Linked DNA regions of Pelodiscus sinensis. The protein of the gene in region 2 purifies or fractionates together with the protein of the main gene of each other region. This does not show direct contact. Links are inferred from orthologs where the notes say so. Each region holds a gene or a part of one and is shown on either strand. Other genes may lie near its edges. The genes, in order: PHGDH and EPN1.

Evidence for each region.
Region 1: the proteins of EPN1 (region 2) and PHGDH purify together in Homo sapiens (affinity purification with mass spectrometry; 3 studies listed by BioGRID and IntAct, with this or other methods). This does not show direct contact. The link is inferred for Pelodiscus sinensis from reciprocal best matches to the Homo sapiens genes EPN1 and PHGDH.

Annotation. Positions count from the first base shown.
Region 1 is NW_027465903.1:143,399-152,930, forward strand, and holds the start of PHGDH (D-3-phosphoglycerate dehydrogenase), read left to right. Parts: upstream 1-5,863; 5' UTR 5,864-5,975; coding exon 5,976-6,113; intron 6,114-6,431; coding exon 6,432-6,583; intron 6,584-6,680; exon of another isoform or gene 6,681-6,739; coding exon of another isoform or gene 6,740-7,960; intron 7,961-8,377; coding exon of another isoform or gene 8,378-8,479; intron 8,480-8,598; coding exon 8,599-8,664; intron 8,665-9,532. Other genes in the region: uncharacterized protein LOC142824412, read right to left, coding at 6,740-7,960, 8,378-8,479. UniProt on the Homo sapiens protein: Catalyzes the reversible oxidation of 3-phospho-D-glycerate to 3-phosphonooxypyruvate, the first step of the phosphorylated L-serine biosynthesis pathway.
Region 2 is NW_027465849.1:3,115,392-3,125,212, forward strand, and holds the start of EPN1 (epsin-1), read right to left. Parts: upstream 3,834-9,821; 5' UTR 3,329-3,833; intron 714-3,328; 5' UTR 465-713; coding exon 237-464; intron 1-236. UniProt on the Homo sapiens protein: Binds to membranes enriched in phosphatidylinositol 4,5-bisphosphate (PtdIns(4,5)P2). Modifies membrane curvature and facilitates the formation of clathrin-coated invaginations. Regulates receptor-mediated endocytosis.

The DNA.
Region 1 (9,532 bases), on a different chromosome or scaffold from region 2:
CCCCCGGCTTCTCTCCGCCCCCGCAGCATCCCTCCCCCCTCCCCGCCAGCATCCCCCCGCATTCCTCCGTCCCCCCCCGCAGCGTCTCCCCCCGCCCCCGCATCCCTCCACCCCCCCCCGCTTCTCCCCGCCCCCGCAGCATCCCTCCCCCCTCCCCGCCAGCATCCCCCCGCATTCCTCCGTCCCCCCCCGCAGCGTCTCCCCCCGCCCCCGCATCCCTCCACCCCCCCGCTTCTCCCCGCCCCCGCAGCATCCCTCCCCCCTCCCCGCCAGCATCCCCCCATCCCTCCGCCCCCCCAAGCGTCTCCCCCCGCATCCCTCCGCCTCCCCCCGCCAGCATCTTCCCCCCCGCATCCCTCCCCCCTCCCCGCCAGCATCCCACCTCCGCATCCCTCTGTCCCCCCCGCAGCGTCTCCCCCCGCCACCGCATCCCTCCACCCCCCCCCCCCGCTTCTCCCCGCTCCCGCATCTCTCCCCCACAGCATCTCCCCGGCATCCTTCCGTCCCCCCTGCATCTCCCCCCCCCACATCCCAGCATCACTCTCCCCATCCCTCCTGCACAACATCCTTCTGCCCCCTGCATCCCCCTGCAACACCCCTCTCCCTCTGCATCACCCCTGCAGCATCCCTCCGCCCCCCTGCATTCCCTCCCCACCTACCCCCAGCATCTGCCCCCACACCGCTTCCAGGAGAATGACTGTGGTGGCCAGTGGGGGACACAGAGATGTCTAAGGATCCGGTGTGACCTGGGGAACTCGCTGCCACAAGACGAAAGAGGCCACAAGGCGGGACGCAGCCACCAGCCGGCTCTGAGCCTGCGCTCCCACGTGCTGCCACAGACACACCAAAGCCCCAGAGCAGCCGAGCGACCTGCCACGGGCTGGGCAGGCAGAGCAGGAGAGTCCGGGCCTTCTGCTGGGCAAGGCTAGGTGGGCTCCAGCGCCATGGGCAGGGCCTGGCGGACACACGGAGAGACAGACAGATGGCGAGGCCACAAGCCAGCAGCGAGTGCAGTCGGCAGCCGTGCGGGGCCAACACAAGAACTCCCCGGGAGCCTGTGACGGGAGCGCGGGGTCATGGCCACAACCGGCAGCCAGGCAGCGACTGACCCCACTTCCCGCTGTGGCGGCGCGTCGGGGTCCCCGTCTCCTGCCCCCCGGAATGGCACGAACAGACTCCCCCAGCCAGTAGCACAGGGGGGTTTATTGCCTCTGCAGGACACAGCCCAGCACAGATGGAATCTGGTCACAGGCACTGGGGCTAAGAGGCCTCAGCCCCCCTTGAGATGGGGGGTGGCTGGGCCCTACAATCCCAGCCCCCTCCCCAGCTCCTTCTCCCCTGCTTCCCAGACCGAAACTAACCCTCTTCCAGCCCTGCCCCCAGCCCGGGCGGCATCCTCCTTCCTTTGTCCCTCTCCCTGGGGGTAGCTGGTCGGACAGGTTGAGAGACCCACTTTGCATAGTGACTCACCCCTGCCCTGCTGGGCCGTGCTACAGACAGCAGCCAGTGGGGGTCACCCACAGCCCCATCCTAGCAACCAGCAAGGTACCCCCACTACGTCACACCACCTGCGAGACTTTCTGTGCCAGACGCGCCCTGGGCAGCGCAGGGGGGTCGCCCAGCGACGGGGTTGCCCAGCGACGGGGATACCTAGCGACTGGGTCGCCCAGCGATGGGGATACCTAGCGATGGGGTCGCCCAGCAATGGGGATACCTAGCGACGGGGTCGCCCGGTGACGGGGATACCTAGCGACGGGGTCGCCCGGTGACGGGGATACCCAGCGACGGGGATACCTAGCGACTGGGTCGCCCAGCAATGGGGATACCTAGCGACGGGGTCGCCCGGTGACGGGGATACCTAGCGATGGGGTCGCCCGGTGACGGGGATACCTAGCGACGGGGTCGCCCAGCCCCATCAGCGCCCCAGGCAGCGGAGACATTCCTTCCCAGGCCAGGCCAGAGGGAAGCACGGCCTCTGGCTCAGGCAGGAGCCTGGCACGCTGCGCTGCCACTCTGCCACGGTCCAGTCCTGCCTGGGTGACCCCAGGCAAGTCACTCAGCCTGCCTGTGCCTCGGTTTCCCCTCTGCACCCCAGCGCGGCGCGGGGGAGCGATGCAGGGCAGCTGGCCAGGCTGAGCCCTGAGCTGTGACCCACACTCTGTGCCCCCTCTAGTGGCTCGACGAGGCAGTGCATCGCCACAGCACTACCGGCGGAGGGGCGGGAGGAGGTGCCCCCTTGCCCTACAGACTGGCCCAGAGGGCAGCCCCCAGCCCCCGGCACTCGCAGGGCCCTTTGCACCCAGGCTCCGCGGAGTCCTCCCTGGCAGCTGCTGCCCTGGGGAGGGGCCTTTGCGGGCTGGTCCAGGGGGCCTGGCGTCCTGCCCCTCACAGCCTGCCCGGCCCTCTGCTGGGCTTTGCTGGACTTCACTTGCCGGGGGCAGGGCAATTTTAGTCGTGCAAGGCCCAGCCTGGCTCCTTCCCCGCATTGTGGCCTGGGCCACACAGATCTCCGGCCCCCCTGGAGCAGCAGCGGGTAGTCAAGGTCCCTTCCAATGGTTTCCATTGGTGTGTGGAATAAATTTTATGTGCACCCAGGCATGTGCAGGTGTGCACCACCCATACATTCACCTGCTGCTGGCTGTGGGCACTCTGCGAATCAGCTGGGTGGGATTTGAATCTCTCTGGGTGGCTGCCCCAGTGCCCAGCTCCCGGGAACACTGGTCCCTTGGTGTGACAGCGTGGGCGCGGGGCCAGGCTGCCGGCAGGAGGCTGAGGGATCCGGAGTCCAGAGGGCACTCCCCACGGGAGCGAGGTGCTGCCAGGTGGAACCTGTTGTCCAGGGTTGCTCAAGACAGAGCCCTTGACCTGGTTTCCTGTCCGGGTCCAGCTACCCTGGACTTTCCCCCAGCTCAGACGTCAGCGCGGCCACCGGCCCGAGGCGGCTCGCTCTGCCTGGCCCTGGGGATGGGCTGTTTCCCTTTCCTCGGGGAACCGTCTCGGAGCAGCTCCCCCCCCAGCAGAAATCGGCCCCGTTTGTAATCCCCCTTACAAACTCCGAGCCCAGAGAGCCGGGGGCTGGACTCAGGGCTAGCCCGGGCCATGGCGGGGCTGTGGGGGGCCAGTGGGGGCTCTCTGTCCCTGCCTGTGCAGAAGAGCTCATTCCGGCGCCCATCACCCTGGCACGGCAGGTGAGAGGCCCTGATGGGCGCCCGTCCTTACCCCGCTTGCCACGCAGACCAGGTGGGGCTTGGGCCACGGACCCCTCCCCCAGCTCTGGCCATTGCCCGACACAAGTAGCTTAGTTTGGCTGCTCCTTCCTCCTGAGGATCGGCCCGGGGGCCCGGCAGCCTCCAAGGTCGGGGAGGGAACAACCGGACTCCTGGCGCTAGGGCCCTACCAAGTTCACAGGCCATTTGGGCCTGGACTCCTGGTGCCGTCAGCGATTCCGAGCCGACGTGCCGGTGCTGGAGCGGCGGGAGAGTCCCGGGTTATCGGAGGGGGGTGCGGCGCTGCTCCCCTTACTGCTGCGCTGCCTTCAGAGCTGGGCGGCCAGAGCAGCAGCTGCTGAGCGGGGAGCCCAGCTCTGAAGGCAGCACCGAGCCAGCAGCGGCACAGCACAGGGCGGCCTGCCATGGTGGGGCTCCCTTACTGCTGTGCCACTGCTGGGGGCGTGCGGCCTTGGTGCTGGCACCTGGCCACCAGTCGCCTCTCTCTGGCCACCCGGCCTAAGGCAGCACAGAAGTGAAGGGTGGCGACGCCACAACCCCCTAAAACAGCCTTGGGACCCCCTGCTGCAAACGTGCGGGTCAGACCCGGTTTGAGAGGGGCGGGGCTCTGTGGGATCTGCTGGGTAAAAGCGCACAAGGCCAGATTTCCCTGGCGGCGCAGTCCCGGGGGCAGCAGGTGACGAGAAACGGGCAGCGGAGTTGCCAGCCCCGAACGTTCAATCACCACGTGCCAGGCTCAAAAGGATCCCGCCTGGGGCAGAAACTCCCGAGACCCGAAAGTCAGCCTGGGGCTCTGTCTACGCGAGCCCTCTGGGCCCGGCTCCCGGCGTCTCCCTGCAGGGCCTGCGGCCGCGTGGGGAAAGCCCAGCCAAGCCCCACGGCGCGGCTCTGAGACGAGCCCCTGCCATGCTGGGAACCCTGCAGCCAGATTCCCACGCGGGACCCCGTGGCGGAGACACCGACTGGGGCGTCCCGTGGGCAGGCGGCTCGGCGGCTGAGACACGGCGCCGGGCACAGCGGGATGCGCTGTAGCTCACAGATCTGAGCGCCGGCAGCAGGCAGCGGGGCAGGCCTGGGCCTGACGTGAACACGCTGTGTAACCAGGCGCACGTGGGGTAAAGGAGCAGACGCACGTTTCGTGCTGGTCCCAGGCTCCGGTCTGGCTGTCGGGAGAGCCCGAGGGGACCTTTGGGGCGCACGAGTCTGAGCTCCGGCCTAAAAACTCTCCCCCCGCCCAGCCAGGGAAGCGCCCGGCCGTCTATCAAAGGGGCTTTGTTTTCTCCTGCACAGACCCTGGGCCCCACACGCCTGCCCTGCCCCACTGGAGGCGGACGCTGGAACTGGCCTTGGTTTTACATGGCTCCGGGGGCGGGCCAGCTTATCTGGAGGCAGCGGGTTTTCTGTGTGCAGCTCCCCCAGCCAAGAGCTGCCTTGGACTGGTCTGTTCTGGGGATTCCTCCTCACCAGCCCCACTGTGCCCGGCTCTGGGCCTCGTCCTGCGCCGGGGCCAGGAACGACCCCTCTTGGAGACAGGAGAGTGGAGAAGGGAGCCAGGACGATCCGCTTCGGCCCCCACTGAGCCTGGGAGCTGTGCCACTAGCCACAGTGTCCGGGGGCGGCAAGTCCTGATCTCAGTTACCCCTGCTCTGCTGGAGGGGCGCTGGGGCGCTGGGGGGCGACTCCAGATCGACTCCAGCGTCTCTAGGACAGGACGTGGCACCATTGGCAGACGTGTTCTGTTTTCCTGCGCCCTGGGCAAGGCCGGGCGGCCAGGGGGTGCTGCACTGCGGGGGGGGGTAGCTAGTGTGATCCCCCCCAGCGAGATTACATCAGCCCAGTCCTGGCTCCCTGCTGCTTCCCCCCGCTTTGCAGATGGGCACACTGAGGCTGGGAGCAGGCCCAGAAGCCGGGCCACCTTCCATGCAGCCTCGCCAGGGGCAGGGCACCTCTCGGGCAGACCAGGGGTAGGGGGCAGGCAGGGGGCGGACGAGTTGCAGATGGGACGGGGGGCAATGGGTGGGCGGGGGGCGGGCGAGTTGGGGGGGCAGGAGCCGGGGGGGGAAGGGGCGGGCGAGTTGCAGACGGGGGGCGGGCGACTTGGGGGGGCAGGGGGTGGGGGGGAAGGGGCGGGCGAGTTGCAGACGGGGCGGGCGGGGGGCGGGCGAGTTGGGGGGACAGGGGGCGGGGGGGAAGGGGCGGGCGAGTTGGGGGGGCAGGGGGCGGGGGGGAAGGGGCGGGCGAGTTGGGGGGGCAGGGGGCGGGGGGGCAGGGGCGGGTGAGTTGGGGGGGCAGGGGGCGGGGGGGAAGGGGCGGGCGAGTTGGGGGGGCAGGGGGCAGGGGGCAGGCGAGTTGCAGACGGGGCGGGCGGGGGCCGGGCGAGTTGGGGGGGCAGGGGGCGGGGGGGAAGGGGCGGGCGAGTTGGGGGGGCAGGGGGCGGGGGGGAAGGGGCGGGCGAGTTGGGGGGGCAGGGGGCGGGGGGGCAGGGGCGGGTGAGTTGGGGGGGCAGGGGGCGGGGGGGAAGGGGCGGGCGAGTTGGGGGGGCAGGGGGCAGGGGGCAGGCGAGTTGCAGACGGGGCGGGCGGGGGCCGGGCGAGTTGGGGGGGCAGGGGGCGGGGGGGAAGGGGCGGGCGAGTTGCAGACGGGGCGGGCTCAGGAGCCGGAGCCGGAGCCGCAGCCGCCGGAGCGGGGAACGCAGCGCAGGGAAGCGCAGGGAAGCGCCGCCCGGGCCCCGCAGACCCCGCCGCCCCCATGGCCCGCGCCGCGCTGGGCTCGGTGCTGCTGAGCGACCCCCTGGACCCCTGCTGCGCGCAGCTGTTGCGGGCCGCCGGCATCCGGGCGCGGGAGCAGCCCGGCCTGAGCCCCCCGCAGCTGCTGGCCGAGATCCAGGTGGGGCCGGGCGGGGGGGCTGCTGCGGGGGCACCGGCCCGGGCCCCTCCCCCGCCAATCCCGGCCCGCGCCCCCCCGCACCCGCCAGCCGCGCCTGATGCAAGAGGGGCGGCTGCTTGCGCGGCGCTGGCTCGGGCGGGGGGGTCCGGCCCAGCTCCCGTGACGTCGTGGCGGGGGGGGGGGTCTGTGCAGGGCGGGGGGCGGGGGCAGAGCCCCCTGGGGAGCTGGAGCCGCTGGCCCGGGCTGGGGTCTCGGTGCCCCCCGGCTCTGGGCCGGAAGGGGGGGGACAGGCTGGCTCTGACCGGGTCCCGCCCCCAGGACTGCGATGGGCTCATCGTCCGCTCAGCCACCAAGGTGACGGCCGAGGTGATCGAGGCCGGGAAGAAGCTGCAGGTGATCGGGCGGGCCGGCACCGGCGTGGACAACGTGGACGTGGAGGCGGCGACGCGGAGGGGCATCCTGGTGATGAAGTAAGGGCCTGGCGCCAGGGCAGAGCCGCCTCTCCCCGCGTGGCGGCCCGTGTCTGAGCCGGGCAGGGCTCCGGGCGCCCGCGGGGCCAAGGTCAGCTCGTGTGTGCAGGGGGTGCGCCCCGTGCAGCTCCATGGGCACATGGTACCCCCCCGCCCTCATTCCACACCCTTGGAGCTGGTCCAGAGGGATTCAGACAATGCGGGGTGGGAGGGAGGCTCGTGGCGGGCGCGGGGCTCTGGCCCACGTTCGGAGGGAAGTTCGTGGCGGGCGCGGGGCTCTGGGCCACGTTCGGAGGGAAGTTCGTGGCGGGCGCGGCGCTCTGGGCCACGTTCGGAGGGAAGTTCGTGGCGGGCGCGGCGCTCTGGGCCACGTTCGGAGGGAAGTTCGTGGCGGGCGCGGGGCTCTGGCCCACGTTCGGAGGGAAGTTCGTGGCGGGCGCGGGGCTCTGGGCCACGTTCGGAGGGAAGTTCGTGGCGGGCGCGGCGCTCTGGGCCACGTTCGGAGGGAAGTTCATGGCGGGCGCGGCGCTCTGGGCCACGTTCGGAGGGAAGTTCGTGGCGGGCGCGGGGCTCTGGCCCACGTTCGGAGGGAAGTTCGTGGCGGGCGCGGGGCTCTGGGCCACGTTCGGAGGGAAGTTCGTGGCGGGCGCGGCGCTCTGGGCCACGTTCGGAGGGAAGTTCGTGGCGGGCGCGGGGCTCTGGGCCACGTTCGGAGGGAAGTTCGTGGCGGGCGCGGGGCTCTGGGCCACGTTCGGAGGGAAGTTCGTGGCGGGCGCGGCGCTCTGGGCCACGTTCGGAGGGAAGTTCGTGGCGGGCGCGGCGCTCTGGGCCACGTTCGGAGGGAAGTTCGTGGCGGGCGCGGGGCTCTGGGCCACGTTCGGAGGGAAGTTCGTGGCGGGCGCGGGGCTCTGGGCCACGTTCGGAGGGAAGTTCGTGGCGGGCGCGGGGCTCTGGGCCACGTTCGGAGGGAAGTTCGTGGCGGGCGCGGGGCTCTGGCCCACGTTCGGAGGGAAGTTCGTGGCGGGCGCGGGGCTCTGGGCCACGTTCGGAGGGAAGTTCGTGGCGGGCGCGGGGCTCTGGGCCACGTTCGGAGGGAAGTTCGTGGCGGGCGCGGGGCTCTGGGCCACGTTCGGAGGGAAGTTCGTGGCGGGCGCGGGGCTCTGGCCCACGTTCGGAGGGAAGTTCGTGGCGGGCGCGGGGCTCTGGCCCACGTTCGGAGGGAAGTTCGTGGCGGGCGCGGGGCTCTGGGCCACGTTCGGAGGGAAGTTCGTGGCGGGCGCGGGGCTCTGGGCCACGTTCGGAGGGAAGTTCGTGGCGGGCGCGGGGCTCTGGGCCAGATTTAGCCAGCGTCTCTGGAGTTGATGGCGCTCCAGAATGCTCCAGCGAGAGCCACACAACTTTTTCTGTACTTACAGCTTTTGCTGAAAAAATGCAACTTGGGGTAAAATTCCCCACGTGGCTTCAGCTCCGAGCAGAGAGACACTTTGCAAACGTTTCTCCAGTGGCGCCGTGTCACTTTCTGCTTCCACATGGTTTCTGAACTTGGCCAGACCCGATTCAAAAGCAAAACGAGCCCCCCCCGGAAATGGAAATGAGGAATTCGCTTTTGAGTCAGACCAAATGGCTCCTTCTGGGTTGTTCACGTCAAGCCGGCCGCCCCGTTGTCCACTCAGCTCACGCTCCAGCCCCCTTTGCTGGGGGCTGCTCGGGGCAGGGACAGTGACCCCCGGTGCAGAGCCCAGGCACTGAGCTGCAGGGCGGTGGGGGCCAGATGGCTATGGGGGGAGAATCTACCCGGCGGGGGGCGGGGGGCGGGATGTACGCCGGCAGCGCAGGCGGTGTGATGGCAGCAGACAGTGCCAGCGCCGTGCCCGGCTGGGCCCGAGGCTCCGCCATGGGGTGACAGGAGAGTCGCTGGGGCCGGGCGAGCTGCCGGTTCCCAAGTGGGGGGCTGCCCAGTGCCCCGGGGCTCCCCTGCCCCCCATGCCTGTGCTAACCCCGCGCTCTGCCCACAGCACGCCCACCGGGAACAGCCTGAGCGCCGCCGAGCTCACCTGCGGGATGATCCTCTGCCTGGCCAGGTGACCCCCAGCGCTGCTCGGGGGGCTGAGTAGCCCCTCCCCTGCTGGGCTGCCCGCTGCCCCATCCCCCTGCCCTCAGCAGCCAACTCCCACCACTGCCCGGAGCCCGGCGCCAGCTCTGGCCTGCCCCAGGCATAAAGCCAAGCCCAGGCTCCCCCCACACCCGCTCGCCCTGCCAGCCTGCAGCCTCCCACCCACGCCCCGGCACAGAGCTCCAGGCATCCGGCAGCCCTGCCCCAGCCATCTGGCTCCGAGCTGCTCACCCAGCATGGAGCGGAGAGTCCCGCCCCACGGCCCCGCCCCACAGCTGACATTGCCCTTCGAGTCCCGCTGCACTGCCCTCTCCAGTCACACGGCCGCCAGCTGCCAGCACCCACTCCCAGCGCCGCATCTGTCCTCCCCCCCAGGGCACCCCATTGCTGCCCTTGCCCCTCCCCCACTCAAACAGACCCCCCCCCCCCGTGGGCATGCCCCATACCACGGGCACAGACCCCCAGCAGGCACACCCCATACCATGGACACAGGTCCCCAGTGGGCACGCCCCATATCACAGGCACAGAGCCCCCGTGGGCACACCCCATACCACGGGCACAGACCCCCCCCGTGGGCACGCCCCATACCACGGGCACAGACCCCCCCCGTGGGCATGCCCCATACCACGGGTACAGACCCCCCCCATGGGCACACCCCATACCACGGGCACAGACCCCCCCGTGGGCACGCCCCATACCACGGGCACAGACCCCCCGTGGGCACGCCCCATACCACAGGCACAGACCCCCCCGGTGGGCACGCCCCATACCACGGGCATAGACCCTTCCCCCCCGTGGGCACGCCCATACCATGCGCACAGACCCCCCCCATGGGC
Region 2 (9,821 bases):
GCTCTGGAAAGGTAGCGAGGGCTAGCGGTTAGAGCTGGGAGGCACAGCTCTGGAAAGGTAGCGAGGGCTAGCGGTTAGAGCTGGGAGGCAGGACTCCACAGCTCTGGAAGGGTAGTGAGAGCTAGCGGTTAGAGCAGCGAGGCAGGACTCCTGGGTTGTCGCCCCAGTTCCGGGCGGAGGTCGAGGGGACTAGTGGTTAGGGCAGGGTGCTGGGAGGCAGGACCCCGGGGCGGCACCTTGTAGACGTGGCGCCAGTTCTTGCCGTGGTCGTTGAGCCGTTTCCAGATCATGCTCATGATCTCCGAGAAGGCCACCACGTTGTAGGTGAGGTCGGCGATCTCCGACATGAGCGAGCTGGACGGGCCCCAGGGGTCGTTGGACGTGGCCTCCCGCACCTTGATCTCTGCCTCCGAGTAGTTGTGGACGATGTTTTTCATCTGGCGCCGCAGCGAGGAGGTCGACATGGTGGGAGGGGAGGGGGGCGGCCCGGCTGCGGGGCAGCTCCTGGTCCCAGTCCTGCGAGGGGAGGGGGGGCACCCCCGTGTCCGTGCAATGGGGAGGGCCCCGGATCCCTGGCCGGGGGGCAGGAAATCCCCCTGTGTCCGTGCGATGGGGAGGGCTGGCACCAGCGGGTGCAGGGAGGGGGGTCAGGCCACTCTCTGGGCCTGGGCCGGCAGGGGCGAGCCGGTCATGACGGCCACTCACAGCCACACCTGCAACACACAGAGAGCAGGGTCAGTGACTCCATGACACAGAGCCGGCACGAGACGCAGCCAGGGGGGCAGGGTTCTCCCCCCAGCACTGGGAGGAGAGTGGGGGCTAGTGGTTAGAGCAGGAGACTCCTGGGTTCTCTCCCAGGCTCTGGGGCTCAAAAGGGGGGCTGGGAGCCAGGAGTCCGACACTCCCCCGGGGGGGACTGGCTTCCGGGGCCTCCTCTGTCCCTCCCCGGCGGGAGCGTGCGGGCAGGGAGCACTAACTCTGGGAGGGGTCGGGGGGGGTCTAGACCCAGGAGAGAACGCACCCAAGCTGGCGGGAGGCAGCAGCAGCCAGTGGTTGGAGCCCCCAGCGGCTGGACGCCAAGCGCAGCTGGAATTCAGCCTCCAGCCAAAGGCCCCGGGGAAGGAAGAGACACAGAGCTCTGGGGGCGCCGCACTGTGGGGGTGGGGGAGGGACTCGCCCCTCCCGTCACAGCCGGCCCCGCAGCCAGACGTGTGTTAGCCTGGGGCTAGGGGCGTGCAGGTGACCCGCTCCCCATGCTCTGCCCCAGAGGGGCCGCACCCCAGCACCAGGGATGGGTGCCTGGATAACCAGCACCCAGCTCTACCCCAGAGGCAGCCACATCTCCGGACCCAGGGATCGGAGCCACGGAGCAGAGCCCGGCGAGCGCCGGGGGAAGGAAGGAAAGCTCCAGGCGTCCTGGCGCCATGACTCAGAAAGGCACAAGGCCTCACTTCCTTCCCCTCTGGCTGCTGCCAGCTGGGACCCGGGAGCTGCAGGGGCTGGAGACCTCCAGGGGGTGGAATGCAGGTTCCCCCTGGCCCTCAGAGCCCATGCAGTGGTCCTGCAGTGCTCCTGGGACTCAGGGAACCCCCTCCCCTTCTTCCCATGCAGGCCACCCCCCGCTTCATGGAGAGAGGGCAGGGAGAGAACCCAGGAATCCTGGCTCCCAGCCCCTGCCCGTTCTAACCACTAGACCCCCCCACCCAAAGCTGGGAAGAGAACCCAGGAGTCCTGCCTCCCTGCTCTAAGCACTAATCTGCCTCCTACCCACTGGACCTTCCCATAACCACACGCTGGTCGGAGGGCTTGTCGCAGCTCTTCTCACACCCCCTCCACGCCCTGCCAATCCCAGGGGGTCTCATGTCAGACCCAACCCCCAGAGCCCTGGGGAGTGGGAGTCCCGCCCCTCACCCGTGAAGGGTGGACCAACAGGCTCCAGCAGGTTTGGGGCCGACTATGAAATTGACCGGGCGGCAGGGGCCTATCCCCCGCGGGGATTTTGCAACAGTTCCCTGGCTCCGGTAGCAGAAAGCCAAGAGGAGCGGCACAATGACACGGGGGAGACCCGACTGCTCAGATCAGCCCCTCGCTAGCCAGAGGCCCAGATGGGTGCCCCAGAGCTGCACCTGAGGGGACTCCCGGCTCTGCGAGCGCCAAGCACCACGCCCGGCGAGGAGGCAGATGGAAGGGAACCAGCTGGGATCCACCACGCTAGCTGGGATCCGCACAGCACCGTCCTGATCTCCCCGTCAGCTCCCTGTCCAAACCGGCCAGCTGTCCCCAGCCCCGGTAGCTCTCCAGAGAGGGGTGGGAGCAGGTGGGGATACAACAGCACAAAGGCACTTCCGGGAGCCCTCTCGGGGGACCATAAATCATCCAGGCTGTGGAGAGTTTCTCTCTCACCCCACGAGTCAGCTACCCCCCCCCCCCCCACTGTGCCATGGGCTGCCCATAAACCTGCTTGGGCTGCCGGGCAGCCAGACAGGGAGGGTCTGGACGTGACAATGAACCACGTGAGAGAGAAGGCTGAGCTGGGGGATTAGAACCACTCCCTGCGGTGGTCAAGGCCGCTGGCCAGCCAGCCAGCCTGCCTGCCTCCCCTTTTCCTCCAATTCCCTCCCCGCCTCTGGGCCAGCCCCACTCACCCCCTCCCTGCCCAGGGATCTCCCTGGGTCAGCCCCACTCCCCCCAAGCACCGTGTCCCCAGACCAATCCTTCCCTGCCTCACACACTCCTACACCAGGCCCCCAGATTAGGCACCACCAGTCGCACTCCCGTGCCCTCCCACCCCCGTGTGGGTACAAGACGGGCCTCTTCTGGATTCCCCAAACGGCCTCCCCTGTCCCCTTTGGCCACCCTGCAAAGCCGGGGCGGGCATGACAGCCTGGCCCCCCCTCCACAACACCCGGGGCCCAGATCCCCCATGCTGGGCAGCACTGGCCTTCTCTCCAGCCTCTGCAAGCTGCCCCCCAGCCCGAGCCGAAGGCACCAGCCCGATCTCCCCTGCCAGGGCAGCCCGGCCCTCCCGTGAACTCTGGACAGCGCGGGGCGCGCCGCCAGCCCGTCAAAGGGGTGATCGGCAGTTGGCACCGGCGCTGACTCAGAGGGACGAGTCCCTCTCACCTCCCACGCTCGCCGGCTCGCAGAAAGCAGAGCCCAGGGCGGCCGCCCTCGCTGGCAGCGCCCGGGGGGGGGGGAGGGTCCCCAAAGCGGCGAAGGGGGAGCGGATTTCACAGGTGGGGAAACTGAGGCAGAGAAGAGCTCCAGGCGCGCTAACCCCTAGGCCCTGCTGCCAGCGGAGCCGAGACGCGCCCCGCGCAGGACTCACCTCGCGTCCCCCGCGGGGGCCGGGACGGAAGAAGCTTCGCGGGGCACCGGGGCCGCCGCCCGGCGGGGGGGGGGGGGGGCGGACCAGCCCCCGGGGTCACCCCCCGTCCGGGTTCAGGCCCCGCGGCGCTGGCGGGGGGGGGTTCAGGGGCGGGCGGGGGGGTCTCTCGCCCACCGACCCACCCCCTCTGATCCCCCCCTATCCCCGGGCGGGGCGCGGGCCCAGGGGGGGCATGTCAGGGCCCCGCGCGGGGGGGGGCTGCCCCCTTGGCCCAGTGGGGGGGGGCTCCCCGGGCGGGGGGGCTCAGATCGGGCGGAGAAGCCGGGGGGGGGGGGGCTGAGTCCCGCCCTGAGGGGGTGTCACTTGGGGGGGGGGGTCCCCGGGCCGGTGGGGGAGGGGCGCTCTCGCCCGGCTCTAGGGGCCCCGGAGGCTCCGCTCGGCGCTAGAGCGGCCGCGGCTGCTGGACCCTCCGCACCGGAAGCGGAAGCCGCCGCCCGCCCTCACTTCCGCCCTGCTCCCCCGCCGGGCTTCCGCCCTCGCCGTGACGTCACTTCCTGCCTCTCCCATGACGCCGGGAAGCTGCGCCGCGCCCCGCCTCCCTCTGTCCTCCCCTTGGCCCCGCCCCCATGGTTGCGTGGCCCCGCCCCCCTTGACCCCTCACCTCCCGTGAGGCTTTGGCCCCGCCCCCTTGACTCCCTGCCCAATAGATTGACCTTTGACCCACCCTGCTGACCCTTTGACCTGCCCCATGACCTTTGACCTGCCCTGATGACCCCAGCCCTGCTCCCCCCCCAGGTCTGGCAGGGTGACACTGTGACCCCCCCCCCCCCCTCCCCCGCTGCCTGTTGAGCCCTTGGCCCCGTGCACTGACCCCGGCCCCGGGGGGGGGCTGCCCTGATGGGATCTGACCCGGCGGCTCCTCGCGGGGGCAGGTGGCCGCGCCGCCAGGGAGAAAACCCAGGACGGGGGTGGGGGTGGGGAGGGAAATAGGCCCCCACCCAAGACAAATATCCGGCCTCCCCTGTGCAGCTGGGACACCTACCCACAGAGAAGTCCCCTTGGCCCCACGTGTTGGCTTCCTTGACCCAGCACAAGGACTTCTCGGCCTGGCGCAGATTCATAGGAGCATCTAGTCTGACCCCCTGTCTAGCACAGGCCACAGCCCTGCCCCCCCCCCCCCCCCCCCCAGTAATTCCCAGACCCCGTCTCTTAGGAAAACATCCAGTCTGGAGTGAAACATTCCCAGGGATGGCGAATCCACTGGGACACGTGGTAAGTTGTGCCGACGGTTAATTAACGGACGCCTTCGTACCAACCTGAATTTGTCTGGCTCTAATTTCCAGCCACGGAAGCAGCTTAGACTTTTCTTTGCTAGATCGAAGAGCTTGTTATTAAACATTTATTCCCCACATAGGTACTTAGAAACTCAATTAGCTTCTCTTTGCTTAATGGACTAGATTGGGCTCCGTGAGTCTGTCACAGTACAGCAGGTTTTCTAACCCTTTCTCCTTTCTCCTGGCTCTTCTCTGACCCCTCTCCAGTTGATCAACAGCCTTCATGAATTGTGGTGAATTTATTTCTCAGCACCTCAATGTTGTGCAATGTGCTCATCTCTTTGCGGTTTCTGCAGGCTCCTCTTGCTAATTGTGTGGCACACACACACGCGCTACTCTAGCCAGCTTGTCCACAAGGAGATTGGGCCCTCTTCTCTTCAGCTGGAGGCGTCCAACCGTTATACCTTGAGGGGTTTGCAACAGGTGCCATATGAAAAGAAATTAAAAAGACTGGGACTTTTCAGCTTAGAAAAAAAAGTCTATAAAATCATGCCAGGTATGGAGAAAGTGAATAAGGAAAAAAGTTATTTACTTGTTCCCACAACATAAGAAAAGTAGGGGGTCACCAGATGAAATTAGTAGGTAGCAGGTTTAAAACAAACAAAAGGACGTTTTTTTTCACACAGTGCACAGCCAACCTGTGGAACTCCTCGCCAGAGGAGGTTGTGAAGACCAGGATTTTAACGGGTGTCAAGAAAGAACTAGATAAATTCATGGAGATTCGGTCCATCAATAGCTATTAGCTGGGGTGGGTAGGAATGGTATCCCTAGCCTCTGTTGGCCAGGGGCTGGAAATGGATGACAGGAGAGGGATTACTTGATGATTCCCTTCTGGGGCAACTGGTATTGGACACGGTCGAAAGACAGGACGCTGGGCTATGGACCTTTGCTATGACCCAGTCTGGCTATTCTTATGTTCACCCCTTCTCCCCGCGGAAGGCGGTCAAATGTTCAAATAACCCCAAACCCTCCGCCGCTAACCTAGCAAGCACTTCACCTCCAGAATCTCCAGCCTCCTGTCTTCCTTTGCTTGAGGGACGGGACTGATCTTGGAGAAGACGGCTCGGCTGTTCTGTTTCTTCCCTCACGTCCTCCGCTGCCCAGGAGGTATCCCGCTAAAGCAGCTTCCATCCAGCCATCACCAAGCCATCTCGGCCTGATGGCCTCTAGACCCAGTCAGGTGACTCTTTGACCCAGCCTGATGCCACGTTTCTCAGGTCCCTTGGCCTACTGTGATGAGCCCCAAACTGGACACGGGGACCAGTCTGACCCCATCTGGTGATCCCTTAACCCAAGGAGATGATCCATTCGATCCGTCTGCACGTCAGGTTCCTACGTGATGGCCCCCGCCCCTGCCGGCCCGAAGAGAGGGGCCAAACAGGCAGCGCAGCGAAGGACTGCACAAGCCGCCCCCCTCCCAGGCTCGCACCCACTGGTTTGCTGTTATAGGGTCTCCTGTGGCAGTGGAGGAGGGGTACTGGTTTGTTATTGTAGGGCAGGGGTGGTCAACCCGTGGTTCGTGAACCGAATGCGGCTCTCCCCACCCCCCCAAAAGTGCAACTCACACAGCCTCCCCCGTGGCTTGCAAAGCTGCCCCAGCGCCCCTCCAATCGGCCCCCTGTGCTCACCGGGGCAGGGAGCCATCCGGAGGTGATTGAAAATGGGAGCTGCAAGATGGCGGCAGCCAATGGGAGCCTGCTATGGCCCAAAAGCCCAAGCCCATGTTTTTTTAAAGGGGCAGTGTGTGGTTTTTTTTTTGCTCGACAATTCTGGTGCAGCTCTTTGCATTTCTTCCGCCGGTTTCAGCTCTCTTTATTTAATGGGTTTCCCGCCCCCCCATTGTAGGGTCTTTCCCGAGCAGTGGAATTGTTATTGTAGGGTCTCTCTGGAATCATGACACTGCAGCTCAGCCGCTGTTCTTGTAGGGTCTGTAGTCCAAAATAGCCGTAGGGCATGATGGAGGCACATCCCCATCCTATGGGACTGAGGGCCCATCTCAAGGAGCTGCATAGAGTATGGCCCATTCCCGCCAGCGCCCCAGGGTAGGGCAGGCCTTGACGGTAGACACCCTGAGACAGCTGGGCCCCAAGCCTCACCCGAAGCAGCCCCCGGCTCCATGAGCCTCTGGTCCCCTCACACTAGGGAGACCCACTTCTCAGGGGCAGAGCGGGGCTTAGGCGCTGTGGTCCAGCCTGTTGGGAACCGGGCAGAGACCCAGTGAACCCCTTTCAGGCAGGGGCCACAAAGCAACTGGAAGCCACAGCCAGCTACAGCAGCCATGGAGGGGAAAGGCTCCAGGCCCCCTTCCCCACCCTTCTGAGCCAGCCTGTCCCTGCCCTGGGGGTGGATGGGAGCTGGTGCCCCCTGTCCCCTGTAACAAAAGGGCTCTGGGGGGACACTCCAGAGAGTCTCAGCTCAGAACGAATTGCTTTGAGACAGTCCTACAGCCCACGACTGGAGCTCCCTGCGATAAAGCACCAAACAGTCGCAAAGAGCGCGTCTGTTCCCCTACCCTGGCCAGCAAGAAGTCCCACAAGCAACCCCCTCAGACCCTCCCGCTCCCCTGCATCACCGCCAGTAGCCCCCCCACCCCCACGTTCCCCAAGGGGAGGTGATGTGAACCAATCCGGACAAATTCTCCCGCTCCCAGAGGGCCAGCCTCATGCCCAGCTCAGTTTACACCTTCGATCAGACCCAAGCAATCACGTGGTTGCCAACCCCTTAGTAACTAAGCTCTAAGGCTAGGTCTACACTGGCGAGTTCTTGCGCAAGAACCCGCAGAGCGTCCACACTGCCCGCCCGCTCTTGCACAAGAAGACGTACAGTACAGTGTCGGAAGAGGGCTTCTTGCACAAGAGCTACGCTCTTGTCTAACAGGTGTCAGCTCTCTGGCGCAGGGGCTCTTGTGCAAGAAGGCAGTGTGGCTGCACGGCAGAGGTGTCTTGCGCAAGAAAGCCCTACGGCTAAAATGGCCATCAGAGCTTTCTTGCGCAAGAGAGCGTCCACGCTGCCACAGATGCTCTTGTGCAAAAGCACATGGCAGTGTGGACGTGTTCTTGCACAAGAAGCCTTGCGCAAGAACCTGCCAGTGTAGACATAGCCTAAAGGTTTATTTGTAAAAAGAAGAGAAAGGACGACAGTTACAACAGTTACATTAAATACACACGACACTTGCCAAGCTCTTGGCTCAGGCTTGTACCGGCGTTGGAATGAACCGCTGGCGTAAGCCAAATCTCAGGAAGCCACCCACAGCTTGGACGAGTCCTTCGGTCCTTTGTTTAGAACAGGGAGGGGCAACCTGGACTAGCGATGGGACCCCAAGAGAGGCCCTCCTTCATCTCAGTAGGCCGCAAGGTTGTTGCGACCAAGAGAATCTCCCAGGAGAGGGTAGTTTCGCTCACTGTGCTTGCGTGCCTAACAGTGCGGGGGGTGGAGAGAGGGGTTCTCCTTGAGCCTTGGCAGAGCTTGGATTGGTTACAGGGGGACCACTTGGCTGGCAGTCGATGTTGTGTGCGAATATCACACACGGCCAAGACACAATGGGCTTAAGTTACAGCAAGGGCGGTTGACGTTGGACAGTCGGAAAAACTTCCTGATTGTCAGGGTGGTTCAACACTGGAATAAATTGCCTGGGGGGAGAAGGGGATTGTCTAGATGGGGCTTGGCCCGGCTGTGAGGGCAGGGGTCTGGACTTGATGACCTCTAGGATTCTATAAATCTATCATCTCATTTCACGGGCCTTGGTTTGATGTGCGTGTCACTTTTGTGATCCCGGTAGGGGGGAAAAACGACATGGCTGAAACCCAGCAGAATCAGGCCACCCTGGGCACGGGCGATGGTGAATAAAATATCTGCCGGGCCCCACCCAAAACCTCAAGGGGCCACAGACTGCCTCCCCCCCCCGGCCGTCGCACTTCAGGTTGGAGCTAAGGGCTTGCAAGTTTTTAGACAAAATGGAGGGTGTCTAGGGCCTTTTTATCGTTTGCCAGGTGGAAGGAATCCCCTTGTTCTCGCTGTGGAAAATACAGTCACAAGTTGGGGTCACACGGGCAAGTGGCCGGTCAGGGCAGGACTCGGTTGTTTAGGGGTAGGCGCCATTTGCTCCCGTGCTGGTCTGATGTTTGCCGGAAAGTTCATTGGATGAGGATTGGCCCCGCCCGAGGCCCATGGTCAGGCCAGTTCTTGTGTTCAACTTGTGTGCACAAGGCCCCAGCCGGTGGCTGCCCACGGCAAACGTTTGAAATAGAATCTCAGCGCCAAAGCTCACGACTTCCCATAAAAACACGAGACCCGCGTAAGAAAGGCACAGTCGTAACTAGCGATTTGTACACCGTTTATAAACAGCTCCCTGGACACGCACAGGACAAGAGGTGCTGTAACATACAACAGCGGTTGTAACAGGGCATCAACGTGGCCATATTCTAGCCACACAACACAAACAATTCCCCTGGCCTCTGCCCTGGACCAGCTGGGAGCTAGTGCCCCCTAGAGGGGAAAGGCCCCCAGCCCCATTCGCTGCCCCCTGGCCACACAGCGAGTTCTAGGTATTATGACCTGCCCCACAGCTGGAGCGGAAGTGGGTAGACCCCCGTCCTGGCAGCCCCGTTCGGTGCCTGACAGCCTCAGGGAAGGGACGCTGGTGGGAGAAGGGGATGGGTAGCTGGAGCCCACCCACCCACAGAGACCAGGGCTCATCCCCTCCAGCAGAGGGTAGGACTCTGCTCCCTAGTGGCCCTCACCAGGGGAAGAAAGGGCTGGCCCCACGCCTTCCAGGACCTGGCCCCCGAGGAGGCAAACAGCAGGCTGGGGGAAGAGGGTTAAGCCACACTCCGGGCAGCTTCCCACCAGCCATCACAGCATCAACCTCATGCTAAACCCCCACCCACAGCGGCCCCTTGGCCCTAGCCCCCACTGCCACTGTCCGCCACTGGAGAAGAAAGGTTTCCAGAGAGGGGGCCTCATTGCGAGCAGAAGTAGGTGCTGGTTCCAGTGGTGCAGTGCCCGGTAGCTCCCCCCAGGGGGCGCTGGTCCCAGGCGGGGCAGTCGCCAGTGGCTTCCCACAGGGGGCGCTGATCCCAGGCGGGGCAGTCGCCAGTGGTTTCCCACAGGGGGCGCTGGTCCCAGGCGGGGCAGTCGCCAGTGGCTTCCCACAGGGGGCG